7 linked regions of the Danio rerio genome follow. The main gene of each other region encodes a partner of the protein of the gene in region 3 in a complex. Links are inferred from orthologs where the notes say so. Each region holds a gene or a part of one and is shown on either strand. Other genes may lie near its edges.

Region 1 (3,795 bases), about 12 Mb from region 3:
CAGGCTCAGCCCTGCTTAGCTTCAGTGAGTAACCGGTCTTGGGCTGCAGGGTGATATAGCTGTGACATGCACCAATGAGTTAACATGAACTAGCAATGAACTACTGCATTTTCATTAACTAACATTAACTAACATGAACAAATACGGTAGTAGATGTATTGTTCATTGTTTGTTCATGTTAGTAAATGCATTAATAAACATTAACTAATGAACCTTATTGTAAAGTGTGAACATTTATTTATACCTTTCTGATTTTACTTTTACCTTCTCGTTTACAAACCCATAAACTTGTGCTTAAAGGGCACCTATGGTGAAAAATCTACTTTTAAAGCTGTTTGGATAGACATGCGTGTAAGTATAGTGTATATACTGTCATATTGGGGTGATATAAACACACCCAGTCCTTTTTTTTTTTAATTTAACAACATAAAAATAGTAGACTAATTGGAGCGGTTTTCAGATCGGCCGCAACTTGATGTAGGAGTGCGGTCCCCCCGCCCACCAATATTGATTGACAGCTGCGCGCATTAACATGTCTCCGTAGAAATCATATCAACAAGACAGGACAAGCGCAAAGCAATTGTGAACAAAAGGTCTGTCCAGTTTGCTAGGATCATCAATCATCATCAAACGTGATCAAGAGTGAGTCTTACAAGTTTGAAATGTTCTAAAACAGTGCATGTGTGTAATGAAGTACAGCGATTCACTTTAGATTCACTTCATCAGCACAGCCACGTGTCAGAACAATTATAAAAGACGCTTCAATCCCAGTTTGTGGACGTTAAACCGGGTTTATTTTGTACACTAACATAACAGATATCCATTCAGCAGTGTATATTAACCTGTACCATGTCACAAATTGTCCGTAGTGTATGTGAGTGATTGTGTGTGGATGTTTCCCAAAGAAGGGTTGCGGCTGGAAGGGCATCCGCTGTGTAAAAACGTGCTGGATGAGTTAGTGGTTCATTCCGCTGTGGCGACCCCGGATTAATAAAGGGACTAAGCCGACAAGAAAATTAATGAATGAACAATAAAAGAATTAATAAATGAACCAAGTCCAGTCCAACTGGACTCAAAAACAAACTTAATGTGCTTGCAGACCTTTAATGTGCACTGCCATGCAGCTTTGACAAACACATACAACTGTGTGTGTGTGTACTTGCCATTAAGCTTGGAAATTTTCTAAATAATTTTTATATATTTCCAGGGTATCTGCAGGATTTTGAAATCAATTTAAAAGTTTAATGACCTTAAAAAGCAAACAAATACAAGTAAAAACCTCATTTAAACCACCGAGAACATAGAAATTAAAATGACTGAACAGCAAATATAATTTCCAAATCATTTGCCAGGGTATCTGCAGGTTTATATTAAGATTTATATTTAAGACCTTTTTAATACCACGCAGAATGAAGTTTAAGACCAACTGTAAAGTTACATTTTTTATAGTACCAAAAAAACAAACAACACAGCTAATTACCATCCTTAACACTCTTTTTACATATAGAATAGTCAAAAAAAATTAGTAGAGAAACTAATAATAATAATTGAGGTGCAGCGGCAATCACCATTCGGGCCGGTCATGACAAAAACCATCCAGTTCCAGTCCCTGGTCAACTGATTGATGCATCTCTAGCTCTTTATTTGCTAATCCATAGGTTGACACAGCTGCTATAGAGTAAAATTTTGATAAAAGTAATATAAAATTGATAAATTAGCGATGCAGTGGCGCAGTAGGTAGTGCTGTCGCCAAGCAGAAAGAAGGTTGCTGGTTCGAGCCTCGGCTGGGTCAGTTGGGGTTTCTGTGGAGTTTGCATGTTCTCCCTGCATTCGCGTGGGTTTCCTCTGGGTGCTCCGGTTTCCCCCACAGTCCAAAGACATGCGGTACAGGTGAATTGGGTAGGCTAAATTGTCCGTAGTGTATGAGTGTGAATGAGTGTGTGTGGATGTTTCCCAGAAATGGGTTGCAGCTGGAAGGGCATCCGCTGCTTAAAACATGTGCTGGATAAGTTAGTGGTTCATTCCGCTGTGGTGACTCCGGATTAATAAAGGGACTAAGCCGACAAGAAAATGAATGAATGAATATGATAAATAAAAATAAAAACAAAATCTTCTTTATGGGGTCAGATCGATTCAATTGCATTTTTAAGACCTTTGAAAAGCAGATTTAAGACGCTTTAAGATTAATTAAGGTCTTATCTTTATACTATGGAATTTAAGACACTTCTGTGAACACCATGACTGACAAACAAGCAAGAAAAACAAACAGACAATTTGCAAAAAATTGCACCTTCTCTGTGTTCCCATTGAACTTTCCCAGGATGTTGAAGAGCGGGACCTGAGGAATGATGAGCTGCTCCTTCTCGTCTTTGTAAAGCGGTGCGGTGGGCAGATCCAGGGTCAGGTAGAGGAAGGTGGACTCCGACATCTCCTCCTGATACTCCTCCTTCAGCAGAAGAGCTTCTTTCTCCTCTGGAGGCTGACAGAAAGAAAACAATTACTCACATGAATGAATGACTTATCCCATTTGGCAAAGAGCTGAAGGCCAAATTATTAGCCCTCCTGTGCAATTTTTATAATTTTTTTGAAAAGTTCACAAGTGATGGTTAAAGGAGAGTTCTTTTCGACACACTGATGACAGTACATAATATTTTTCTAGCTATTTTGCTTTCGTATTTAGCTTGGAGAGCAATTTAAAGAATTTAATTCTGTAGGTCATTAGACAAGAGAGGTTTGTTCTGTAGCCAATTTGGAAAAAATAATAAGTTATTAAGAGGGCCAATAATACTGACCTTAGCAAGTTTTTAAAGGGTCAAGAAACACCAAAACACATTTTTTGAGCTGTTGACAGACGTCTATGTGTCCCACACTGCTAAAAACACTATTAGGACACCTATATTTCACTAAAAACTGTAAATTGGTTGTTTTTGCGTTATTTCAAGCAAATTCGTACTTCCGGTTTGAAACTAATTTTTGAAGCTGCGTCACGGTCATGACATAATAGCCTGTATTCCAGCGTGCAGACTGGACGTCTGTGCCAGAGTGAGTCTTATTACGTCTTACAGTGTGATGCATTAATGCATGAGTAAGGCTTGGTTCAAACCAATCAGCGCGCTCTATTGTGCAACTTCATTAATATTCATTACTGTCACAGTGTTTAGACGACAGAGACGCCACGTTGTGTTGGCAAAACAAGCGTGAAGTGTTGCTTTTATAGTTTGCTGCTGTTAAGTTTTGTTTTCATTTTCTCTCTGTGAGAGCGCAGCTGGAGTCACGTGTGGATTAACAGTGTACGCGACGCTCGACAACAATAACTTACGTGTCTAAGGAGGATTATTGTTTACATGAGAGCTGTTCTCATCTGCAAACGCTGAGATCCGGATTCGCTTGTAGTCTCCTCTTAATAAAGACGCGGCTCTAGTTGCTGTGGATTGTCCTGTCTCTACAGATTTGGTAAGTGAGCGACCAGTGCTATTTGTTTATTCAGTTTGTTCGTATCGAACTAACGGTAACTATTGCACCGAGTGTAAACATGTTAGCACCACAACCAAACTTTAACCTCGTGTAGGATTTTCACCGCATTTAGTGACCGGAATAACACACGCGGCTTTCTGACGCTACCTGCCGTGTGCATCTAAGTTTCCGGGAAATGCGGAGGTTTTTTTTTCTCTCATTCGCCGTGCGGTATCAAACATTGCATGAAAAATACCAGCTTAGAGCAGCTCCTCGAATCAAATATCTCGTTTGTCACGAGGGACATGAATGAATTCCCTGAATGAAAGAGCCAAACTGCAG
Region 2 (4,297 bases), on a different chromosome or scaffold from region 3:
AATCAATAAAAGTCTGTCCTAAATTTAATATAAAAGGTTTCTGCATATTGTTTTATACTTTAGAAATAAAATGATGTCATCTGAGGTTACGAGGGAAAAAGCTGCAGTTTCCACATATATCCAGCAGGGGTCCTTATGCATCTATTCATTTCAGCTTTTACTTCTTGATGCTTTAGGACCCATCCCATGCTTGAATGTCTCAGTAGTCCTTCAGCGTTAGAAGGAATGGTAGGCTATAAAATATTTTCTCAGCTTACACAGTCGATCTACATAACTGAATAGCAACACAGGCACAGGTTACTGCATCTATTTTTTAATATATATATATATATATATATATATATATATATATATATATATATATATATATATATATATATATATATATATATATATATATTTAACTGACTGTCACACATTCTCAGCATTTGCTTTTAGTTGAATTTCAAGTGCAGCAAGCTAAACTTGTTATTTATTTCTTAAAGAAATATTATAATAATTTACTGTCATGTTGTGTGACATGCAAAAGAAAATATTTAGAAAATTTTAATATTCAGAAAGTTTTTGTTTCCAATTTTTATTTGTGCTCTAGACCCAGGCCTTTGCAGAAATGTTAAACTTTTTAAAATTTATAATGGGTTTAAAATTCATTTAAAAAAAATAATCTTAATTTTTTTTCCACTTTTCTCATTTTTTTTCAGTGTGGTCAGTTTGACCTCAAACACCATAAGTTTTTTTTTTCTTTTTTTTTTTTACACATATAAAGCAACCAAATCAAGTCCAGTTGTGACTGTTTTGTTAAAGGTTGGACTGATGTGACCCCAACATTGCCTAATTGATAAAGTTGCAATTTCATATGCAAAATTGCATATAAATAAACACCAAATAGCCTACTCTTGATAACAATGCAATCCAGATGATCAGCCTCACAACTTTCACTATACAACTAAATTGTCTAATTTTCCTTTGCAGGAAATGTGAGATGGGCTTTCCCAGATATGAAAATGCGGAATTTAAAGGAAGCAGGAGGAGATGTGTTTCAAATCTAACAGGGAGGGGGAATAGTACTTCCATACTCACAAACACAAGCTTTTTTCAGGAATGTCTGTGCGATCACTGATCCATCAATGTAGAAAAGGGATGAAAAATTATAATTTTCGTAATTTAAAAAAAATAAATAAATAAATAATTGCACAGTGACATCCGGGAAAACTCCCGATCATAGCCTATGTGTATATCTTTGGCTTTGGATGGTCACAGCTTGCATTCATTTCAAAGGAGCGGTTCCCTGTACTAACATGGTGGATCTATTGACGCATTCCTTCCAATAGACAACAACAGGGTAGGCGACATCTAACGTATATATCTATGTCTAACAGGAAGCAGATGCATTTTCCGTCTAATGATTTGTTCGCGAGAGAAACGGAAAATGCATTCTGGGTAGATTTGAAAGATGGCGGACGACGCTGAGCAGGTTTGCAATTTTTGCTTTGTATAAATATTTCGTTAGCTGTTTGATTATCGCGGAGGTTAATCGTATTAATTGTGTTTATTTTTAACTAGTTGAACACACGGGTAGCCTATGCTAAAGCAGCTTGTAACTACGACGATTGTTTGCATGGACATTTTCATTCAAATAAAATACATCACTGAAATTTACTTTACAGCAACAGACCACCAACACCGTAGAAGAGCCTCTGGATCTGATTCGGCTCAGTCTGGATGAGAGGATCTATGTAAAGATGAGGAATGACAGAGAACTGCGTGGCAGACTGCATGTGAGGGGAATACTACATTACATACTCTAAGTTAGTTATACTGCACGTGAGGGAAATGCCACATAATATACTGCATACGAGGGGAAAATACTACATTAAATACACGTTTCTACTGTACGTTATTGGAAAAAATACAACCTTAAGCATATTATATAACGTTATACTAAACCTGATTCAAAATACTACATTAACCATTATATAATGTTACATAAAGTTAGTTACATTGCACGTGCAAGAAAATACTAAGTTACATTGTGTATATATAAGTTACACTAATTATACTGCACGTGAGGGAACATACTACATTAAACATTATACAGTTATACTGCACGTGAGGGAAAATACTACATTAAACATATTATAGACTCTAGTTAATCTGCATGTGAGGGAAAATGCTGCATTAAACATTATTAAATTGCACTTGAGGTAAAGTACTTTTATAGATATATTGTTAGCCTTCACGTGAGGGAAAATTCTAAATTAAACATTAAATATTATAGTTAGACTGCATGTGCGGGAGAAATACTACTTTAGTATATACTCTAGTTCACTGGTTCCCAACCTTTTTTTGCCTGAGACCCCCTTTTTCCCTGGAAAATATTGTTAGGCCCCCCTCCACATTTAATGATATAATCGCTCATATAAGTTTGCACTAATAATGACAAAAAATATTGTTTCAAACAAAGCAAAGGTAGATCTCCAGGAACAGGATTGGCCACCCCTGCTCTAGTTAGACTGCGCTTGAGAGAAAAAACTAAATTAAACAGATTATACTCTAGTTATCCTGCACCTGAGGCAAACATTAGGCATATTATATTTATCATTATTATATTTATGTTCATTCATTCATTTTCTAGTCGGCTTAGTCCCTTTATTAATCCGGGGTCGCCACAGCGGAATGAACCGCCAACTTATCCAGCAAGTTTTTAGACAGCAGATGCATTTCCAGCCGCAACCCATCTCTGGGAATACTATTTATATATATATATATATATATATATATATATATATATATATATATATATATATATATATATATATATATACTAATTAAACTACAACTGCACATGAGGGAAAATACTTATATAAATATTATATACTCTAGTTATACTGCATGTGAGGGAAAATACTACATTGTAGTTATTATATACTCTATTTATACTGCACATGAGAGAAACTACCACATTGTACATATTATATACTCTAGTTCAGTGGTTCTCAAACTGTGGTACGTGTACCACTAGTGGTACGCAGGCTTCCTTCTAGTGGTACGTGGAGGAATAAAATATGTCATGTACATGCTACACACATTTCAAAATTGATAAAAATGATGTATATAATGTCATATGACATATAGCCTATATTTCTCATGTAATCTGCCACGTTTTTTTAACTGTGCAGAGTTGTAGCTGCTTTACTGGGCCTACAAGGCTATTGTATCTCAATACTGCTCATTTTGGTGGTACTTGGAGAGACAATTTTTTTCTGAGGTGGTACTTGATGAAAAACGTTTGAGAACCACTGCTCTAGTTATTCTGCCCTTGAGGGAAAATACTACATTTTATACAGACTCAAGTTCAATTATGTCTCTAAATGTATTATGTTCTGTTATTAAAGTCACATGAATTTGGTCTGTGGATTTTTTGGAGAAAATAAAGGATAAAAACATGTAAAAGTGAATTGATAAAATCTATTAAAATGTAATAATCAAATGTTTTATCCTAATAATTGACTACACGCATTAGTGTAGTATGTAAAGTGTTTAGTAAAAGAAAGGAAACATACAGAGGATTAAAATAATATTTATATTGTAATTGTATTTAGATCTAAAATACAAGTCTAAACTAATAGTCTACAGCAGTTCTAATGTGTTATTTTAACAGTACGTATGTATATATGAACAGTATATTGAAAAATCTGTTTGATTTTAATAACAAATCACAGAGATAAGGGATCAGAAAAATGTAAATGTTTTGTATTTTACAGAGGTAAATAAACTTATGGATGACCAAAAATGTACTGAATACAACTTCCTTTGTGTGAATTAAACAGCACAACCAAAAAGGATAAATGTTGACATAAATATACTTTTATTATTTTAATATTCATTTCTTTAAATATTTATTTTCTTTTATTTACCATATTTGCATTAACAGGGCTCGAAATTGCGACTATTTTGGTCGCATATGCGCCCGAAATTTTATCTATGCGACCTTAAAATATATTTGGGAGCATTTCTGCGAGAGCTTAAAATTGTTGTGTGCAACCAGTTTGTCTGCTCTTTGTCTGCAAAAATGCAGCGCTCGGGAATGGTTTAAAACAGTTATCATGTCAACTTGTTGCAGTAAACAAATCCAAGTCCGTAATGCTTGCCCTGCCTTTGCGCTCTTCTTATTGGCCCACCACTGCTCTAGCACTGAATGCGAATGATTGGTTAATATCAGCTGTTAATCACTCAGTCGCCTTCTGGCTTCGGACGACAGAGAGGGCTACTACCGCGAAAATTGTAAAGCGCTGAA
Region 3 (3,795 bases):
CACAGCTAGAGAAAATCCTAGAGGAAACACTGAGGGGTGTATCAGTACATGTATTCATCCTGAACTACCCCAATACAATGGTCACTGTTCTGTTCCCATGCTCCCTTGACGAATACATTCAGTCCAGATGTGCAGTGACTGTTAAGGCAGTGCAACAACTGAGCAAGACATTCACAAAGAATGCATCTTAGTGTTTAAAAACACGACACATTAGCACTCACTAAAGTTCTTCTGATTGGTCCACTGCTCTAAATCTGACAGCATGTGTGACAAATAAGCGCTACCTCGGGTAACTCAAATTCGTTTTATCGTCACACTGCTTCAAAGCAGCCGATGCTGCAAAAAAACTCCACTAATACGGTCACTTATGTCCGTAAACAATGAAAATATAAGATACAGTCTCATCATGTGAGCTTGTAAGTCAGTCTTTAAGTAATGCGTGACTTCTCTATACACACATAGTATTGAACATCTGTAACTGCTTTATGGATGTACACAGTGCTGCATTTTCCTTAAACGAGATTTCACTTTTGAAGTTTACTGAATCTTACCTTTAATACATAATTATTGTTTTTCCTGAATTTGATTTGTAAATTATACATTTCTTATTAGTTTCCTAATTATAAAGGTTTATACTTATACTAATTCTAAAAATACATTTATTTTGTACTTTTGCATCACAAGAAGCTCTTCAGTTCTGTAGCTGTTTATGCCAAATACTTCTGCCTGTTTAAAATAAACAGAAAAGACACAAACTGGAAATTTGTTATTACTTTTTGTTGTAACATACACTCCTACCCCCAAAAACCAAGGGACATACTGAACCTTGACTCCAGTGTACCGTTACACTATGTAGTCTTTATGAAATCCGTTTAAGTTTTTACTAAATTCTATTTTTCCTAATGTTTTTTTTAATAAACATATTTTAGTAACCAAAAAGCAAAGTTAATTGAAATTTTGATTTGTTTTTATTTAAAAAGTTTAATATAGAACACTTTTTGACTTTTAGCTAACCAATGAAATAGGTTTTACTTTTTTTTCTTCTAACGTTCCATTTTATTTCTGTTAAAATTAATACCTGCTTTAAAAAAGTAAGCATTTCTTTAAAATAGTTATTATTAGGATTGCTGCTTTGAGAAGTACATTCAACTACAAAAATAATTTATTTCTGTCATCATTTATTTAAGAAAAACCAAAATTGTATTTAGTTTTGTGGCTGATTTATCACTGCCACTTCTCCACACCACACTGAAGAGGTGTACAGCAGAACTTTGGATTTATTCATCAACAATTTCCAAATCAGTGACATCATCTTTTTACTAAACTATTTCCAATTTATTCACTGAATTGCCCTATTCCATCATCTTCCATCATTTGGGACATTCCATCAATGTCCCAAATTAAAGGACAAAACCTACTTAATCTGTTTTATCTGTTCAGGCTAATATCCATTACAGAGAGTTCAGTTTAATTCAGGTGTTTATTATTATTATTCTTAGTTTTCTTTGTTTTCTTCTTTACACAGATTGAGAAACGTTCTTTCAGTACTTGGTCCTGATGCCTTAAAGAAATCCAAGAAAGAGGATGAAAAAGCAAAACGCACTCATGAAGAGGTAGGAGCATCTGCTTTAGTAGATGTTTCACTTTATTATAGACTAATTTATTTGTATAAAAAACGTAAGGTGATTGTATATGCATATTTTGTGCAGTATCAACAGACATGGTACCATGAAGGACCTACATCTCTGAAGGAAGCGCGTTTGTGGTTAGCCAAGTATTCACTGCCTAGGTAAACTCTGAAACTGTTTTCCATCAGCAGTATAAATATTATTATAATAATTTAAAATTTGGAATTGTTGTTTTGTTTTGCAGAGCTGTGAAACGTTTAGACGCAGCAAGAGCCCAAAAAGAAATTCCAGAATCTACACGAACAATTAAACAGCAAGAGCTTCACAAGAACTTGCGGGTACGACAGCATGTCAAAAAAATGAAAAAAAAAATCTATATTTGTCTTGTCACTGCTGTGTATAAATTTGTTTTTATAAATGTAATTTGTTTTATTTAGAATGTAAATAACTTCTGCAGCCAGATCGGAGACGACCGTCCAATATCTTACTGCCAGTTTAGCCCCAACTCAAAGCTGCTTGTGACGGCATCATGGTATGTGCTGTATATCAGTTTTGTATTTAATTTAGTACATTATTATAAAAATTCTGTATTATTTATCTAAATTTTGGGGCTAAAAATAAGGACTTCAAAAATGCTTAATTGCTGCTTTAATACAGCAGAACAAAGAGAATATAGTTAGTATTTTTTTTTCTCAGAAGGAAAATTTGTATTGGAAATACTGTGGGAATTTTCCTTGCCCTGCTCTTGCCTATACATGTACGTTTAAAAAAAAAAAATTCTAGCAACTTAAATGTGAAAATTTTTTTTTTCATTTTGTTAATTAACTAAACGTTATTTGTTTTTAAAGACTTTTAGGTTTGGTTTGATTAAAACAAACTAGTACTATTGCTCCATTGGTGCAATTAATTTAAAAAGGCTTGAATGCTTCCCGTTGAACACTGTCCTGTGCCAAACTAGTGGATCAACATTAACTTTTTCAGCACATCTAAAAGAACACTGACCAAATATGTCTAATAGAGATGTGCGGTTTAGCTGAAATGACACCAGAATCCACAGCTTCATACTAATCATCCACCCGCCTGCACATATACTTTTACCTGATATATGTATCTGGACCCGACTCGCACCCAGTCTTCAATTAAATAATTTATTTCTTTGTTTTAGGCATGATGATAGGTCAACAAGGATATTAACAGCAGATTCAGTGAGCTAATCTGCGCATCTCTGATAGTAAAATAATATGTTAATCTTAAACGTTTTTAAATGAACATTTATTTATGAAAACAAAAGTTTGTCTTTTAGACAACATTTTCCTCATTTTTTTAAAAAAGATACAGAAAGTAAAAATAAGACATTTTAGCTTTTACAGATACAGGAACAAGATAACAAAAAGGGTGTCACTTCAGCCTAAACGACGGCTATGTTATGTTTACTTATCTACTATGCCTGGATTTGGGCGATTCCGCCTCACCTTCAAAACCAACACAGAGCAAGCGTTTGCTCGCAGATATAAAACACAAAATGCCACCATGAAAAGGACATAATAATAAAGCAGCTTTTACCTCGCATAGTTTGCCTAATTTTAATACTGGCATTAGAAATGAGTCTTAATTAAACCTCAATGCAGCACACAGCATTGTTTTGTATGTTTCTTGCTGTTGTTGGTTTTTTTTGTATATCTTCGGTTCAGTATTAAAATACGAATAGAAATGTGAATGCTAAAACATGGCTAAATGTATCATTTTGCACCAAACAAACAGAGCTGAACTTGTATTTATAAGACATTTCTGTTGTAGGTCGGGCTTGTGTAAATTGTGGAAGGTCCCCGATTGTACTCTTATACGCACATTAAGAGGTAAATACAGCAAATATATTCTGTAATGTTTATTCATCAAGTTGTCTGTTTGTGTTCTAGTTTTTGAGGAGCAGCTTGTAGCGTTGTATTAATCGTTGGTGAACCCTTCCTCTTCAGGTCACAATACCAATGTGGGAGCGATTAGCTTTCACCCACAAGCCACACTAACACTTGAGGAGTCAGATGTCAATATGGCCTCTTGTGCTGCAGATGGATCTGTTAAGCTGTGGAGTTTAGACAGGTGTGTATCTTTTAGGATTATGTAAATCTGTTATCTGAAGGAAAACTGTAACATTCACCTGTTTTTTTAA
Region 4 (4,268 bases), on a different chromosome or scaffold from region 3:
TTTTGAACTAAAACACCTAAACATATTTTTGTAGTGTGGTCTACATTCGCTTTGATAAAGCCATGATTACTTTATTAGCGCATAAAAGTGCCTAAAAAACACAAAACAAAGGCACTGGTATATTTTAGGAACAGTAACTACGAGTTTCTTTTACTCTAAACAACTTACTTTTTTGTTTGGGACTAGGCTGTAAACTACAGGTGTCAAATTCAGTTCCTGGGGGGGCTGCAGCTCTGCACTGTTTAGTTCAGTTTAAGTAAGCACAACCAGATTAAAGTAATTAAATCTTTCGGGCTTCTTTGAAACCCAACCCTGCTCCAATACACTTGGAACTGAACTGTGCAGGGCTGCAGCACTCCAGGAATTGAGTTTGACACCTCTGCTAAACTATCCATTCACCTTAACCCAAGGGTGTCCAAACTCAATCTTGGAGGGCCGGTGTCCTGGAGATTTTAGCTCCAACCTGCCTCAACACATCTGCAATTATGTTTTTAGTAAGAGCTTGATTAGCTAGCCCTGGTGTGTCTGATTGGGTATGGAACTAAACTTTGCAGGACACCAGCCCTACAGGACCGAGTTTGGACATGCCTGCCTAAACCAAAACACCAGCATTCCACGAACATAATTTGTAAAATGCTGTCAGCTGAACTCCAACAATGGACGATTTTTTCCACCAAAAGGAAAGTGTGAAAACAGAGGAAAATACTTTATTTTTGCATCAATGTGTGAACCTAACTAAAAGTCATTGGTATGCAGTACAGAACTTTACCAACACTCATTAAAAGCACACAACCACTAACTTGTGAAGTAAAAAAAAAAAAACAGTAAATCACACCCTCAATAACAGGCTTCACATGACGTAAAAATGAAAGAGAAAAAAAAAACTTTACATGTTTTAGGTAAGAAAAACATTTAAATCAACAAAACTCCACAGATGATGCTTCTGAACATTGGAACAAAACCAAACTATTCTCAAATATAAACATTATTGTTTCTGTTGTGTAGCTTCTTTGCGTGCAGCATCCTGTAGTAGCTGTGTGTCCACTTCATCTGCAGGAAGCTGAACGTATCGCACCACTGATCCACGAATGAAGCAGTTCTTCACAGACAACTACAACAAAACAATATTAGAGTCATCTATATACACCAAAGTTCTCCTTGTTGAGCACCTACATCACTATGACAATTCATAAATCACAGACTTAATAACCTGATCTACATTAATTTAGGAATCAATTCAATTATCAGGGTTCCCTCTTTAACCCTTTAGCTGCCTGCTCTATCAAATGGTTGACCGTATTTTCACCGTTTTAAATAATGGTTTTCACTACACAGCATTGTTGGTTTACAAAAAAAAATCCTGTTGCAATTCTACACTTGCTTTCTAGTTAGTTTTTTTGACAATAAAACCAAAGCAATGTTATATGAGAATCTGAAAATATTTTATTGCATATTTCAAAAAATAAAGATGACTTAGTATTCAAAAAAAAATTTTATTTTGAATATTCTTTAAAATAAATTGGTCCTACACTTGCTATTTTCAGATTTTTCATAGTATTAATTTCTGTACTTTTACCATAAACCAATATATCAACCATGACATGAACATAACAGGCTTCTGTAGTGCTTATAAAAAATTGTAATATTAAATTAAAAATATATTGAAATGGTTTTAGCCATTTTATTACATTCATTTAATAGCCACTATGAGAACAACAAATGATAATTTACTTAATATAAAAAAAAAATACTTGCGGTTTGCATGGCTGTAAATATCAAATATATTTTAATAAAGAAAAGCTAAAATGTAAAGTAACAAACAAAAAATCCCTGTTATTCCATGAATCTGACAAAAATATATCAACATTTCCTAAATTTCAATGTCTGAAATGAACCTTTTAAAATTCCATGACATTGATAAAGATATTAGACCCAAGATTATGAGTGTAATTTTCATTTCATCCATTTCTCACCATGTGCGGATATTTCTCTGGATCAGTAACACTGATATCTGTCAGTTTGATGTTCAGGTACTGTGAGGGAAGAACAAATGACAAGATTAACTTAATCCTAAATCGCCCAATATTTGTTTATATTAATAAACGTGTGGAGTCAGTTTCCGTACCTGATCAACTGAATGTAATGTTCCACATATGCTGCAAAATAGATGTGTTCATAGTTTTACGAGCTGGCACATACATTATAAAATATGTATATTCAATTTCTAATTATATATATAATATTTGTAAAAGAAAGGTGAGCACTCACCTCAAGTCATTCTTGAGCTCCACCACAACATCTTTGCCAACCAAAGACTTGAAAAACGAGTAGAAGAGCTGAGAATAAACATTTGAAGGAATTACTCTCAAAATATGAGGCGGACAGCAAATAAGACATCGATAAAACGATTGAATCAAGTTTTATCAACAGACCAAATGAGAAATGTCAACAGCAAATAACACTGCTTTCTAAATTACGCAGGCAAATGAAATACCAAGACTTTAATATAATAGGAGTCAGCCAGAGTTGTTTCTGTTGGGCATTTAATTAAGGGGATAATCCTTGCTTGAGAATGTTGTTTTATTTGGCTATGAAGAAAGCTAGCGTTAGCTGTTAGCATGAAGCATTGTTTGTCTTTCTCGCGAACACAGTGGTCAAAAAAACCTAAATATGTTAAACAAATGGTCGTAGCACGTTTATTAATTCCTTAAACGTAAATTACTGTATGATATTGCTAAATAACAACACTTACCATTTTCACGCGGCTTTGTGCTTTAGATCACATACGTCATCAAAAAGCTGCCGGGTCTTTCACTCTGTGCTTCTATTGGCTAGAAGAATGAAGACGTAAAAATCCCATTGGTCGCGAAATTGTTGGCGTTTTGTTCTGTTTTTGCGTCATTTGTACTCATCTCAGTAAATTATTCCGCAATCGTTCATCACACAAAAGAGATTAAAAGGCGCATGTTCAATGGATGTGAAATATTTTCTTAAAACAGTCAACTTTATGCCCGAAGAGGTACATGACATGTCTGACACAGAGCTTGCTGATACACGTACATGGCTCCTCTTTTCTGGCAATTCCCTCTTTCGTCAGCAGATGGAGACAAATAATAATAAAGCACAGTCCAGGGCTCAGGTTAATCCTCTGCGTTATCCCCATTTATAAAACAAAAAAGCAGTCCACTTACAAAACGCTATATTGTAAAACAAAACAAAACCTCCACGACATGCTAATGATTATAATGTTTTTCACGATTATGTATTTATGTGCATCCAAAAAATGTAAATTCAGCCAATTTAATCAATTTACTTGTTTAAAACCATCTTGATCTTTCCATATTTTGAAGAACGTTGGGAACCTGTAACCATTGACTTTAATAGTATGACAAACAAATACTATGAATGTCAGTGCTTACAAGTTTTCAACATTTCTGAAAATAAAAATGGATTTTGGATTCTCTATAATTTAAAGATAAATGTTCCTAAACATATAGAGCCTTCTTATAACATTATGCTTTAATATGCATTCTCCTGTTTTTAAAAGCAAGCATTCTGAAAATTACCTAGAATGAATATAAGCAGGGATGGGCAGTATTTATGATAGGGTTGATGGAAATGGCTTAATGTTTTGTATTAAAAATACATTAATGTCTTTTATTTTTGTAGTTTAAAATATTGTAAAATACTTTGATGCTAAATGTTTGTCACTGAAACAAACAACATAACAATAAGTCCTACAATAAGTCCTACAAAAGGGACTAAGCCGAAAAGACAATGAATGAATAAATGAGTGGCGATTCCGATGCTGTTTCAAATGCCAGTAGTTGATCTGCAGATGCACTGTACTGTTAATGAAAAAGAAAGATGTACTGTATGCCTAAACATGTAAAAGTGACAACATGAGAAACGCACATTTAATAATTAAAAACTTCTGACAGGTTATACAGAAGGAACATGATATAATATATGAAAAGTTTATTTGCAAAAAAAGATAATTTTTTGAAAGTTTCAGAAATCATGTTTTTACACTGAGTATTAAAGAATCAGTTTAATGGTGAAGGGACTGATCAAATGGGCTTATTAATGAAAGGTTTGCCAACAAATATCATGTTCCTATTTAAAAATATTTTGTAGAATTTTTTAAAATACAAAAATACTGTATTTTATTTTGATACATTTTGTGGCTGAGGTATTTTGTAGTTTATTTTGATATACTTAAACTTATGGTTTTTGGTATTTTATTTTAAAATATATTTAAATGTTTT
Region 5 (4,583 bases), on a different chromosome or scaffold from region 3:
CGCATCCCTGCTATATTTTAAATGATTTGTTTTCTTAAAATGAATTCACAACAACAACAAAAATAATAAATAAAAAATAATAAATTGTTTCTGAAACTGAATCTTTATCTTGACTGGTGGACTGCTCTATGATTAGGTGTGTAAAACAAATCTGTGTAGATGGTATAATTACGTTAAAATCTCATTTATTACACCATCACCATTCAAAATATGATTTACGCTTCTGTAAAAACGTTTCACTTGGTTAAACTTACAAACTCAAGTTCAGCAGCTGCCTTGAAAATGTGAGTCAACTCAACTTGGAGAGATTCTTAAGATGTTGAGTTTTACAATATATTTAACTAAAACTCAACATCTTACATTGAAACAAAGAATCTCTCTAAGTTGTTGCCTCACATTTTCAAGGCAGCTGCTGAACTTGAGTTTGTAAGTTTAACCAATGTGAAACGTTTTACAGTGTGGGCAATTATTGAGGGCCCCCAAATTTCTTGGGGTCCTAAGCGGTTGCTTGCTTCATCTTTCAGATGAGAAGTTAAACCCAGGTCTTGATTCTCTGTGGTCAATAAAAATCCCATGGCACTTCTCGTAAAGAGTAGGGGTGTAACCCTAGTGTCCTGGCCATATTCCCTCCATTGGCCCTTACCCATCATGGCCTGGCCTCCCAATCATCCCCATCCACCGAATTGGCTCTATCACTGTCTCTCCACCAATACCTGGTGTGTGGTGTCCGCACTGGCACTGTGGTCCTGTGGCTGCCGTCGCATCATCAAGTGATGCTGCACACTGGTGGTGGTGTGGAGAGACCCCCCTCATGATTGTGAACCGCTTTTGGTGTAAGATCTATAATATAAATACACATTACATTACATCATTGGTTAGGTCAGTCCCTGATTCTGATGTAATAGCAACGTAATTCCAGAACCACCATACAATTCCATCAAATTTATTAAACATTCAGTACCTTACGAATATTAACAAGTTTTAATTATTTTTTCCATGCTAGTGTGTAGCAAAACACCGTATAACAACTATTTTTAACCACTACAGCACTTTTATATAGTTCAATCAGCATTAATTCCCATAATGGCGATGTACAATTACAATTAGCGTCTGAAATCATCCCACAACCATTGATTGTACTTTTGTGTAAGTGCCGTCGTCATCATTACCACCAGTGTTTCCATCGACCCCCACTTTGACCCTCAAACAGTTAGCCTTTTCAGCAAGAACTGATTATAATCTCTAAAGTTACTCGTTAGAAACAGTATTGTGCTCTCTTCCTTAGAAACCAGAAATCTCCAGAGCGCGTCATCTGCTGGACAAATACCGCATCACTCCCTCACGACGGCTAAACTTCACATTAATTTGTTTAAACTATAAAATTAACTTCATTAGCACTGTCCATTTGTGGTCTATTTTTAACAGTTTTGATTGATGTAAACGTGTGTAATTGTAAGAAATCTATTTAATTATTTATACGCTTATTTTTATGTACGTGTGTTTGTTTTGCTTCTTAATTAATGTTTAATTATTTGTACTCTTACTATATTTATCTTCTATCATCCCTGGCATTAAAATGTGTGTTCTATTGTCGCGTACTAGTTATTTAAAGCTTATTAAATAAATACTAATTCACTCATGACAGCTTTCGTTGCTCCAACTCCATTAGTTCTGCCTGAAGTTGTGCTCAATCGGTCATCGCCTACTCGAGTCTCTCCGTTATCGCTTCCGGCTCAAGAACGAATGCTTTTCGTTGTAGGAGCTAGCGAACGAGCACCGGAGGATTTAAAAACACGCACCAGCAGAAAAGATGTCCACCGCTCTCGAGAGTTACATTCACCGTATCCTTTAATACGCATCGTGAACAGCACGGCGGTGATGTTGTTGATCGATACCCCGTGTTTTGTTGTTGATTGTGTGTGTTTGAGCGTGAAATGTCTAACTTTATATATATGGCGCGCCAGCAAGTGAATTAGCTTTTGATGATCATACGTCGTTATAATTCACGTTATAGCATATTAATGTACGCACATACATTTCTTGAGCAAAATAGATCAGTTCAAGATGATTATCGGTTATCTGGATGTGATATTAACTTCATAGATGCCTGTTTTTTGTCAAATATTTGAGTTTTTTTTTCTGGACCAATGAAAACGAGTCTTCAAATATTTAATTAAGACATATCATATAACTGGAATATTACTATTTACTGTAAATATTACATATTAATGTGTTCACATCTTGCATATCGGGTAGAAATAAGTATATTTGACTGTTTGTATTCATGTTAATCTATATAGATATAATTTATGTATGTAAAACAATCTAGAAAAGTAAAAAAAAAAATTTACATTTTGGATATAAGTATATTTGACCGTTTGCATTCATGTTAATCTATAAATACATATAATCTAATTTATAAATGCAAAACAATCTACAAAGGTTTTAATTTCTGAAATATTTCGTAAAAATAAGTATATTTGATTATTTTTATTTATGTTAATCTATTTATAGATGTAATCCATATATGTAAAACAATGTAGAAAAGTTTTTATTTCTTAAATTTTGCATAAAATTAAGTATATTTGACCATTTGCATTTATGTTAGTCTACATATAGATGCAATCCAACAATCTAAAAAAAGTTTTCATTTGTTCAATTTTAGTTAAAAGTAATTATATATGACCCTTTGTATTTATGTTAATCTATATATAAATATAATCTATGTAAAACAACCTAGAAACGTTTTAATTTCTTAAAATTGCGGTAAAAATAAGTTTATTTGACTGTTTGAATTTGTTAATCTATAGATAAAATACATATATGTAAAACAATCTAGAAAACTTTTCTTAATTTTTGGTTAAAAGTAAGCATATTTGACTGTTTTTATTCATGTTAATCTATAAATAAATATAATTTAGAAATGTAAAACAATCTAGAAACATTTTCATTTCTTAAATATTTCGTAAAAAATAAGTATATTTGATTGTTCGTATTCATGTTAATCTGTATATAAATATAATCTATATATGTAAAACAATCTAGAAAAGTTTTAATTTCTTGACCATGACCATTTGTATTCATGTAGATAGATAGATAGATAGATAGATAGATAGATAGATAGATAGATAGATAGATAGATAGATAGATAGATAGATAGATAGATAGATAGAGAATATGAATCAGTCAATGAATAAAATACTTAATAGAGATTTTGAACACACATTATGTGTACTATATAAACACAAATCCAGAGAACAAATAAACGCAGTGAGTGACCATGCATACATAAAATGAGCTTGAAATTTCCTTGACTGTGATTTTTTTCAAGGGACTGTTGCTATTGTCACTTCGGATGGCAGAATGATCGTGGTGAGTCTTCCTCGTGTACTTTAAAGGGAGTTATCCACCTTTGTGTTTAATAAAGTGCAAGTCAAAGACACTTTGGGAGTGTTTGACTGTATTAGGAAAATCTAAACATTATCACTTGTAACTCACAGCTCCGACACATATTTTTCATTTGTATTTTTGTTTTGTTTAAATGTCTTTTATGTTTAACTGAGGAGAAAAGTCCCCTAGATTGTGAATAGCCTGAGTGTGAATAAATTAATATTAAAATCTGTGTTTTTTGGTGAACTTACCAATTAATCATTGTCTGTGTGCAGAAATGAAGAAGATCGCTTACTGACTTGTGCTGTTTTTAGGGGACGCTAAAAGGCTTTGATCAGGCAATCAACCTCATCCTGGATGAAAGCCACGAGCGGGTCTTCAGCTCTTCACAGGGGGTCGAGCAGGTGGTTCTGGGACTGTATATTGTCAGAGGAGATAATGTGTGAGTATTAAACTCCTTTCTTGTAATTATGTTTATGTTGTGCAGAACAGTGCAAGGTTTATGATTTTTTTCTTTTATTTGGTTGACATAAATGGGAAATTATTTTGTGTTTAAGGGCTGTGATCGGTGAGATTGATGAAGAAACCGATTCTGCGCTGGATCTTGGAAACATAAGAGCAGAACCACTCAATTCTGTGGTGCATTGATGGACAGAAAATTTCATTTTGATCCAGTTGAAAACTTTCCCTAGGAAATCTGCAGGCATCTATAAGCAGCAATATTACCTGCTTTTTTAATCTTGAAAAAGACTGAATGCATATTTGTTTTTTGTTTGTTTTGTTTTTTACGGGTGTTGAAATAATAAAACAAAAAGTGATAAATCAAGATTTTAAATTTTTTAAAAACTTGTATAAAGGGGAAAATATTGGTAAGTATCCATTTTCTGGATAATTCTCAGTCAAAAACAAAAAAAGTAATAAATTAACAGTAAAAGTAAGATTAGGTCCATCTCCAAAATGCCTATTTTATCACCCAAAAGTCAAAAGAAATTTCCGTATTACATGAAGAAATTGAAAAGCATTTAAAGCCCATTTTGTTTTATTGCATTCATGACGATTTAGCTTATTTCCCACAAAGAAAAGCTCATTGCAGTATCGTAAAAATGACGAAAAAAGACATTAATATAAGTGTATATTATTATAAATAATTTGTAACAGTTATTTAAATGTAGTAATTGTATATAATAATGTGC
Region 6 (4,491 bases), on a different chromosome or scaffold from region 3:
ACAACAGACGTCCCTCGACAAACAACCAGACCCAGCTGCCTGGTGTCTTCGGTCAGTTTATACTGGTCATCAGGATCTGTGTGGGAAATAAATGTGGTCAGAAATCATATAAAACCATTGATATAATGATAATAGTCAAACACAGATGTCTTTACTCTTAGGGCGGGGTTTTTTCGTATTTTCGGATGTGTTAACACTTGTAGTTTAGTCAGTTTGTTTGGACCAAACAAAAAAATTATACATAGTCCTAGTTTGTCAAGCTTTCATACTCTGATTTTTGACAGAAAAGCAGCTGCATTTATGACATTCAATTCAGCTTATTCAGCTTTATTTGTATAGCGCTTTTACAATGTAGATTGTGTCAAAGCAGCTTCACATTAATGGTCATAGTAACCGGAACAGTGTAGTTCAGATTTTAGTGTTTAAGTTCAGTTCAGTTCAGTTTAGCTCAGTTCAGTGTGATTTAAAATCATTACTGAGAGTTCAAACACTGAAGAGCAAATTCATCAATGCGTAGCTCTACCAATCCTGAACCATGCGAGCCAGTGGCGACAGCGGAGAGGGGAAAAAAACTTCACCTGATAGGAGTGAAGAAAAAAAACCTTGAGAGAACCAGACTCAGTTGGGCACGACCATTTTAATTTCTCCGCTGACCAAAAGTCATGTGCAGAGCTTCAGTCACCGCGGTGGATTCTGTGACTTTAAATTTTCAAAACAATTCTGTATGTTTAGATACACTTGTTTGCTGTATGTGCATGCACACATTTTTTAATCAGTTAAATACGGTGCCCTAGAGAGGACAAATGCAGTGTAAACATGCAAATAGAAAAACACTTACAAACTGAGAATTAATCGTCATTAGTTTAGTAACGTGAATGCAACTTCCAAAATATGCACATAGAAATGTTTTGGGGGACCTTTGGGGCAGCTTTCTTTTTAGAGACAGTGGTGTTGTCAGCATTTAAAGCTAAAATTATCCAAACACCAGGGAATCATACAACTAGGACGTTAAAGTAAAACACTCAGCTCTTTGACAACACCACCACCTCTAAACAGGAAGCAGAGGGTCGGGTTCATTACATTTTCAGGTCCCCCGACACATTTCGGTGCATATTATCACATTCAGGAATATGTGTCTCAGCTTTCTCAATCTGTGTTTTTCTATTTACCTGTTGTTGTTTTTTTTTTAGTTATAGTTTATCCGAAAACTAACCGTTTCACTACTAGATTTCAGCATTTTTCAAAATATCTTCTTTTGTGTTTAACAGAAGAAAGAAACTCAAAAAGGTTTGAAACATATAAAGGGTGAGTATTCAATGACTAGGCGTGGGACAATAACTGTTTTAAGGTTTATCGCGGTTTGAAAAGTCAAGGTTTTAAAAACGTTAAAATTGTCTGTTATACCGTTCTCAAGGTATTTGTAAGTTTTTTTTTTACGACTATTTTATTGAGTTTTTTTGGGCAACAATAGAAAAGGACCATCCACATCACAAGTTACCATGATTCAGGAAACATCTGAAAAACAAATCTCTTATAAACCAACATCCAGCATGCTGTAGAGCTGAACAGTGTAGATGATTTTTTTTATATCCAAAGAAAAGAAAGATATCCAAAGATGCCTTTTCAAGTTGAAAAGAAATCTGTGCTTTTGAAACTAATTAAGACAGCAGAAGTCAATGACATTCAACAATTAATAAACAATAAATTATTTAGCCTGACATTATAGTTTCAAAATATTTTAAATGTTAAAAAATATAAACCATGTTCAATGGGGGAAAAGTTTTTTTTTTACTCAGACATTTAAAAATAAAATATTTTGGAGCAGTATGTACAATAACATGATATTGTGTAACTGTGATATTTCAACCTAAGGTTATCAACCGTCAGAATCTTATACCAGCCCATGCCTAACAATGACAGTATTCATTTTTTTAGGGTGAACTATTTAACTTCAAGTGCATTTAAACTCTCTCAGAAAACCATATTAAATGTGTCAAACCAACACCAGAATTTCCTCTGGCTCACACACACCCAAATGAAGATCTGCTGAGACTGTTTCTGATGCCTGAACTGAACGGTAAGGAGCAACATTGTTATGCTGACAAAAATAGCTATGCTGGAGCATTCTGCCTTTTTATGTTTAATATCATGGCATCATGTCCTCTTTGGGTTGATTTAGATGCATTTATATATCAGTCAACCCACAAGAGTTTGTATGTTGCTTTATATAATTTATAATTTAATAAATTGATTAATTTTATAATTTAAATTGCAGCATTTACACTAAAATTTGTTCAAAACAAACCACACTAACATTAATACTGTGAGAAATTTAATGCAGAACATAATTTGGTACATATTCGGTTTACATTAGCACATTTTACCTCGCATGTATTCAATGGTGCCGTCCAACACAAGATTCAACAACGGGTCGAAGCCTTTTAAGACGCCACTTGCTGAAAATAGGAAACACTAGTGTCAAATTTACCACAATTCATTTAAATATCATAATGTGAAACATTTAAATTCATAATTAATTTCATAAAGCAACTCCCTCACCTTCGCGACCTCCTTGAAACTTTACACGTATATGTTTGTCGATGTATTTCGACAAATCAAAAATACTCTCCTTCTTTTTCTTGTCTTTGTCCTGAGGATCCAAAAACATATTATATAACAATCTCCAGGCCTCTATAATAAATATCAGACTCGTAGCTTAGCACAAAAATACACCACACATCACATTTACAATTACCAGCACACCCTAATGTGTAACAACATAAATATCAAGAGTGTAGGATATATTCAGGTGCTTATATGTTTGTTTATAACGCCGTTTGTCCTTAAAAGTGTTTATAATGTGAACGGTGTGGAAACGTTTGCGCTACTCACCGCCATGTTCAAAACTCCTCTACGCCCCGCCCACTCCGGGTTCACGTTTGACGTCTACCTCTCGGCCAATCACAACGCGCGCAGGTGAACTCTGATATCAAATGTTTTCAATTTTATCAGCTTTATTCACGCACAACTACACAGTATATACAGCTTTAAATGTTTATATCTATATTATACGATTTATAAAAACAAAAACATGTTGAAATACGATGATACGCGTGATTAGGTTGAAGTGTTTCTCACTTCCGGTTGGAAACGGACAAACGCGGGAGTGAAGCGCGAAAAACAAATGAGTCTTTCAACAACCTAAATAACATCTTTAAAACAGGATTACACGATTTTTAATTATTATCGTTGCTTTGTGAATGAATTAGGAATGACGGAATTACTTTTTAACAAGCGGTTGCAGGTGCTGGTGAAGAGTAAAGATACCGATGAGAGGTTTGTGTTGATTGTCTTGTTTTTGAACACAATGCCTAACTTAAATTGATTTATGGTATGAATTTTGGCTTTATTTTGTCTGTAATTATTAACATTTCGAAGTCTGTAAGGGTCTATATGTGTTTATATATGTTGTTTTTGTTACTACAGGCGTTCGGTTATTCGCGTTAGCATTGAACTGCAGTTACCATCCAGCCCTGTTCACAGAAAGGTTTGTTATTAACATGTGTACAACCATATTTATGCCTTTAAGCATGTTTTATGTGGTCTTATAACTTTTTTTAAATTTTTGATCAACAGGATTTAGTTGTACGGCTGACTGATGATACTGATCTTTACTTTTTATACAACCTTATCATATCAGAGGAGGATTTTCAAAGGTATTGTGGTATTAAAAGTGTCATTTCATCAATGAGCCATATTTATTTTCAACACTTTGCTATTAGGCTTCTATGTGATTATATTCTGTGTAATCGTTTTTATTTGCTCTTCTTCACAGCTTAAAAGTACAACAAGGGCTTTTAATAGACTTCACATCATTCCCACAAAAATTTATAGACTTACTTGAACAGTGCATTTGCGAACAGGACAAAGAAAACCCACGGTAAGAGGTTATAATTCATAATAATGTTCAGATGTTGCAGTTGTTAAAGTGATAGACAGGCTAAAGTCAATAATTACTGATGATTTAGTCAACCTCAGGACAAAAATTTCTTATTGGTTCTTCACTGAGTCAAATATTAATACTGTTTGGTGTTTATTTCAAAAATATAAACTTTTTGAAATGAAACTTATATAAAATTTTATAAATATCTATCTAACTATCTATCTATCTATGGGAAAAAATAAAGAGACCCCTTGAAAACTCTATATTTGTATTTGTCTGTACATGTTTGAAAACATTTCTTTTTTTCTTCTAAATTTCAAATCAAATAATGTCATTTAAGCATTTCTTAATATTAAAAATAATAATAGCAATAAACGGTTTAAGAATTTTACTCTTGTATGGTTAAAATGGACACTAACATGTTTTTTGTAATGTTAATTTTTTGTTATTTTGCACAAAAATCAAAGCTAAAAGCACATCGAGAGCAGGGATGCAACGATTATAAATGTTGATCGTACGATTACAGTCTGAGGAATAATCACAATTTC
Region 7 (4,369 bases), on a different chromosome or scaffold from region 3:
GACACTGTATCGCTGATTGATGCAATCTTAGCTTGCATCATAAAGGCTGCATATTGGCTATGCCAGCTTTATACCAAATCTGGGCCAGAATTCCTTGTTACCTGGGTATTGATGTTTCAAGTCTGAATACAACCTTAGGCCTATAATGATTTTTTTTTACTCTGGAAGTGGAACAGTTACAGTATTGTCAAGTTTTACAAAAAATGGAAACCTATTGTGGAAGTGTACTGTGTTCTGTGTTTTGGTTTCCGATTTGGTCCGTCATTCCATCAGAGAGGAGATACTGGGAGATGGAAAAATTAATCAAGCTATAATCAAGCTATAAAACTCCAAATTACCGTGACAAATTACTGTGACATACAGTTTGGTAGCCTATATGATGCAACATTTTGACTGACTGACATGCCCTTTAAAAGAAAAAACTTGGGTAACACTGCTCTAATGTTACAGCCACAGGCTGTACAAAAAGCCAAGCCCCTCTCATGCTATCGATGTAAACAAAGTAGTAATCTGTTCAGATTCATCTTCAGCCTTAGTTAGTATAGCAAACTCAAAATCAGATAGAGAGGATTTAATAACAGAAATCTATTTATCTTTATATAGATTAAAGGAAATAGGAGTAGTCGTTTATTTCTGCTGGGTTCCATCACATATTGGGGTATCTGGTAATGAAGTTGCTGACAAATTAGCAAAGGAAGCACTAAATAAGCAAGAGGAAGTAAATGTACCTCTGGGGAAAAGAGAGGCAAAATCGATTTTAAAGGAAAAACTAATAAATAAATGGCAAATTAGATGGGATAATAGTAATACTGGAAGATGGCACTATAGTATTATACAGACAGTAGGGACAACACTAAATCAAGGAAGAAATAGGAAGGAAGAGGTGTGGTTATCAAGATTAAGATTGGGACACACAGGGTTAAATGCAACACTTGCGTTAATGGGTTTACATGAGGATGGGAAATGTGATGTATGTGGTGTAACTGAAAATGTGGATTATGCACTATTTATATGTAGCAAATATAATAAACATCGCAATATGTTATTCAGTCAGTGTGGGGAAGATAAAACAATATATAAAATTATTCTAGGAAAAGGTATAATAGATTGGCAAGTATATAGAGCGTTTATTAGGTATATAGAGTATTCGGATTTAGGTTATTATAGTCTTATATTTATGGATGAGAGTATTCTCAATCATTGTCATAAAGGCCCTTTATGTTAGAGGAGCTGAACACGCAGTGCTGACATGAGTATGTGGTCTAGATGCAAAGATTGGACAATATGAAACATCCAAGGTGTTTTTTTCCCCCCTTTCCCTCCCTCCTCGTTTCTTTTTGTTGCCCTTTCATCGGAGTAAGATTCGGTACAGTAGGTGGCGATAATGCTTTTAATTGTTAGTCGCCATAAAACAGAAAGAAGAAGAAGAAGAAGATGCTATCGATGTGTGCTGATATCGATTATCCATGCTTGTAATTGGCTTCCGGTCCCGATTATTCAGGTCTGTTATCAAAATGGCGGCAATCACAGCAACGAATCCTTCGCAGCTTTTACCACTCGGTTTGTTTCACTTTCTTTAAAATTGCTTATCATTTACTGACATAACTTTTGTGTTTTTGTACGGGGCAGAGATGCCAATCAGTCACGTTCGTAACTCACTTTGCTTTTTTATCTAATTGAATACACCTGTGCACAAAAGATGTGGCCCTAATCATGTCAATGTGTTTTTATTTTAACTTAAATATTTAATTTCACAAATTTATACATCAATGTGTGATTGATTATATATAAACGGAAGCCAGTTCATTTAGTTAGTGTGGGCGAAAAAAATAAATCACTAATATGTTTCCCTCTGTTGGAGTTTAAAATATTGTAATTATGACTTGGGAACACATTTATCATTAACAATTTCCATTAAGATGTATTTATAAGTAAGATACTCTGAAAATAAAATTTTATGTATGAGTTACGACATTAGAGATACCGTGTCAAATGATTAAAAGCCACTCCACTCTTTACTCGCAGGATTTTTTTGTTGTTGAGTCAAATAAGCCTAAAATTAGTACTTTAAAGAATGAATTTGGTATTAACATATTACTCAATCCCACACCTAGTGTTAAAGCCAAAGAAATTTTAAATTTTATTAAACGTGGTTCGTTAAAAACTTACCTTGGCTGTATAGTTGTTGAAGTAACGTTTAACATAAATTGAATTTCTTTACAAGGTTTTACAGTTGTATATCACACTGACCACTCAAAATGTTTCCTTTAACAGCCAATGATGTGACTGTGTTTATGATGGGGATTGTGTGCTGTCTTTCAGAGCTGGTGGATAAGTGCATTGGCTCTCGGATTCACATCGTTATGAAGAACGATAAAGAGATTGTGGGAACTCTGCTTGGGTTTGACGACTTTGTCAGTATCCTTTACCTACTGGCGGTAAAAAAATAAACAAAACACTGTCAAATATTTGTGATGTTTACAATTTAGTTTTGGATTCAACTTTTTTTTTTTTTTTTTTTTTATAAATACTGCTAGCTAAAGATATAGTTACACATAAGATTTCCCTTTATTTCCCTTAGTCCGTTTATTAATCTGGGGTCGCCACAGCGGAATGACTCGCCAACTTATTTAGCATATGTTTTACGCAGCGGTTGCTCTTCCAGGGTGGAAAATGGCATAACGGCAGCAATGGTTACTGAACAACAACGTTGTGGAATCAGTCTGCCTAAAGAATGTTCATTAGCCTGTGCTTTAGTTTTAGCATTTTAATATAAGAAAATGTCCAACAAAAGAACTCTATCATATTTACAGACTCCAAATCATGCCTCCAAGTGATGGAATCTTCAGAAAATGATCATCCTTTGATTAATGATATTATAACTAAAGTTCACCATTTACAAAACCATTTTTTTTCATATTTTTTTTTTTTTTTTTTTGCTGGGTTCCGGGACATGTTGGGCTTTCAGGAAACGAGCGAGCTTGATCCAGCAGCTAAGGATGCTTTGAAATAAGTTGTGAACGAATGCCAAATTCCTCTTTTAGAGATGAAATCTTTTATCAACGTTTACTTTTTAAATAAGTGGCAAGAGGAGTAGGATGCATTGAGAAATAATAAACTGTATGAAATACAACCTGAAATCTCAAACTGAATTTTTAGTCATTTTAAGACTAAATTTGATTTAGTGATTTTTACTAGATGTTGTATTGGACATGCAAGAATGATCCATGCTTTTTTTTTTTGCTCAAATGTGAAGACCCTGCTCAATATTTGCACATCACACTTTCTTTTACAGTAAAACAGATTTTACTGGATTGTCCTGCTTTTAACAATTCCAGAAGGCTTTTTTTTTTTTTTTATCAAATGATGTCTCTTCAGGACATTTTTAGCAAAATGACACCTGGAAAATAGTAAAAAAATTATAAAAAAATGTATTAGCATTTAAAGATGTATTTAATTTATGTATTCATTTGTTTTTGTTTTTTAATTGTATATTTATTATTGAAATGTTCTTGCCATGAAAATAGCCTTGCATTGCTGACATGGCATTAAATAAAAAAATACAATACACTACATCACATGTTGTCAACAGAGAAATGTAAATGTCTATGTAATGTTATCTTTGCGATGTTGTACATTTCCTTGATGCTTTACATCAGACATGGTCCTAGAGGATGTCACAGAATTGTAAGTATATTTCCTAAACAAAAATATTAAATATTTGCTTAATTGTCTTTGCACAGTGTATTCATGCATTCTCTTCTGCTTTGACTTAAAGGATAGTTCCCTCAAAAATTTTAATTGTCAACATTTACTCAACCTTCTATTGTTCTAAATGCTGTTCGAGTTTCAAACGATCAGTATCCTGTCTCCAAAATTTTAGGTGTTTGTTTTATTAGGATAAACTATCAATAAAAAAAGCACTTTCGTTCTAGAGATTAACTAAAGCTCAAGTTTTATACCATTAGACTATTTATACTGTATTCTAATTATTCTATAAACTATACTGCATAGAGAAGGCATTTTCTAATCTTTTTAGAAACTTTTTTTAAAGTATGCTTAGTTAGAAGTTCAATGGTATTAGCAAATTTTTATCACTATTGAAACCGTTTAATATTTTGTGACATTATTATTAAAGAATAATTCCAAGTATTATCATTGATTAAAAAAAAAAAAAAATCAATTGAATGTGAAGTGTACTTGAATGTGAAGTGTACACTCATGTATTCAAGATGCAAGGAAAATTGGATTATGAAGTATTTTCACAAGAATTTATAGATGTAGGTTACATTTTTGAACACTTGGTATTAAATATTTCCTCATCTCGGGCTTGTGTGTTTGTATCACAGTGAAATCACACCAGAGGGAA

Evidence for each region.
Region 1: prpf4 (region 3) and usp39 share a complex: the UniProt entries of both Homo sapiens proteins name them as parts of the U4/U6-U5 tri-snRNP complex. The link is inferred for Danio rerio from reciprocal best matches to the Homo sapiens genes PRPF4 and USP39.
Region 2: prpf4 (region 3) and lsm3 share a complex: the UniProt entries of both Homo sapiens proteins name them as parts of the precatalytic spliceosome. The link is inferred for Danio rerio from reciprocal best matches to the Homo sapiens genes PRPF4 and LSM3.
Region 4: prpf4 (region 3) and smx5 share a complex: the UniProt entries of both Homo sapiens proteins name them as parts of the precatalytic spliceosome. The link is inferred for Danio rerio from reciprocal best matches to the Homo sapiens genes PRPF4 and LSM2.
Region 5: prpf4 (region 3) and lsm8 share a complex: the UniProt entries of both Homo sapiens proteins name them as parts of the precatalytic spliceosome. The link is inferred for Danio rerio from reciprocal best matches to the Homo sapiens genes PRPF4 and LSM8.
Region 6: prpf4 (region 3) and lsm7 share a complex: the UniProt entries of both Homo sapiens proteins name them as parts of the precatalytic spliceosome. The link is inferred for Danio rerio from reciprocal best matches to the Homo sapiens genes PRPF4 and LSM7.
Region 7: prpf4 (region 3) and lsm5 share a complex: the UniProt entries of both Homo sapiens proteins name them as parts of the precatalytic spliceosome. The link is inferred for Danio rerio from reciprocal best matches to the Homo sapiens genes PRPF4 and LSM5.

What each region holds. Positions count from the first base shown.
Region 1 is NC_133180.1:74,861,457-74,865,251, reverse strand, and holds part of usp39 (ubiquitin carboxyl-terminal hydrolase 39), read right to left. Parts: intron 2,480-3,795; coding exon 2,291-2,479; intron 1-2,290.
Region 2 is NC_133197.1:33,572,328-33,576,624, reverse strand, and holds the start of lsm3 (U6 snRNA-associated Sm-like protein LSm3), read left to right. Parts: upstream 1-1,390; 5' UTR 1,391-1,453; coding exon 1,454-1,474; intron 1,475-1,667; coding exon 1,668-1,778; intron 1,779-4,297. UniProt on the Homo sapiens protein: Plays a role in pre-mRNA splicing as component of the U4/U6-U5 tri-snRNP complex that is involved in spliceosome assembly, and as component of the precatalytic spliceosome (spliceosome B complex).
Region 3 is NC_133180.1:62,706,018-62,709,812, forward strand, and holds part of prpf4 (U4/U6 small nuclear ribonucleoprotein Prp4), read left to right. Parts: intron 1-1,525; coding exon 1,526-1,613; intron 1,614-1,709; coding exon 1,710-1,789; intron 1,790-1,872; coding exon 1,873-1,966; intron 1,967-2,065; coding exon 2,066-2,160; intron 2,161-3,425; coding exon 3,426-3,484; intron 3,485-3,601; coding exon 3,602-3,725; intron 3,726-3,795. UniProt on the Homo sapiens protein: Plays a role in pre-mRNA splicing as component of the U4/U6-U5 tri-snRNP complex that is involved in spliceosome assembly, and as component of the precatalytic spliceosome (spliceosome B complex).
Region 4 is NC_133181.1:30,702,473-30,706,740, reverse strand, and holds smx5 (smx5), read right to left. Parts: upstream 2,832-4,268; 5' UTR 2,756-2,831; coding exon 2,753-2,755; intron 2,337-2,752; coding exon 2,269-2,336; intron 2,157-2,268; coding exon 2,126-2,156; intron 2,034-2,125; coding exon 1,974-2,033; intron 1,112-1,973; coding exon 986-1,111; 3' UTR 51-985; downstream 1-50. UniProt on the Homo sapiens protein: Plays a role in pre-mRNA splicing as component of the U4/U6-U5 tri-snRNP complex that is involved in spliceosome assembly, and as component of the precatalytic spliceosome (spliceosome B complex).
Region 5 is NC_133179.1:10,099,313-10,103,895, forward strand, and holds lsm8 (LSM8 homolog, U6 small nuclear RNA associated), read left to right. Parts: upstream 1-1,650; 5' UTR 1,651-1,810; coding exon 1,811-1,841; intron 1,842-3,331; coding exon 3,332-3,372; intron 3,373-3,704; coding exon 3,705-3,832; intron 3,833-3,947; coding exon 3,948-4,038; 3' UTR 4,039-4,213; downstream 4,214-4,583. UniProt on the Homo sapiens protein: Plays a role in pre-mRNA splicing as component of the U4/U6-U5 tri-snRNP complex that is involved in spliceosome assembly, and as component of the precatalytic spliceosome (spliceosome B complex).
Region 6 is NC_133197.1:10,400,828-10,405,318, reverse strand, and holds the start of lsm7 (U6 snRNA-associated Sm-like protein LSm7), read right to left. Parts: upstream 2,914-4,491; 5' UTR 2,899-2,913; coding exon 2,893-2,898; intron 2,651-2,892; coding exon 2,560-2,650; intron 2,457-2,559; coding exon 2,385-2,456; intron 77-2,384; coding exon 1-76. Other genes in the region: sass6 (spindle assembly abnormal protein 6 homolog), read left to right, coding at 3,272-3,336, 3,487-3,547, 3,637-3,716, 3,836-3,940. UniProt on the Homo sapiens protein: Plays a role in pre-mRNA splicing as component of the U4/U6-U5 tri-snRNP complex that is involved in spliceosome assembly, and as component of the precatalytic spliceosome (spliceosome B complex).
Region 7 is NC_133187.1:13,906,611-13,910,979, reverse strand, and holds the start of lsm5 (U6 snRNA-associated Sm-like protein LSm5), read left to right. Parts: upstream 1-1,432; 5' UTR 1,433-1,514; coding exon 1,515-1,560; intron 1,561-2,322; coding exon 2,323-2,418; intron 2,419-3,659; coding exon 3,660-3,687; intron 3,688-4,349; coding exon 4,350-4,369. UniProt on the Homo sapiens protein: Plays a role in pre-mRNA splicing as component of the U4/U6-U5 tri-snRNP complex that is involved in spliceosome assembly, and as component of the precatalytic spliceosome (spliceosome B complex).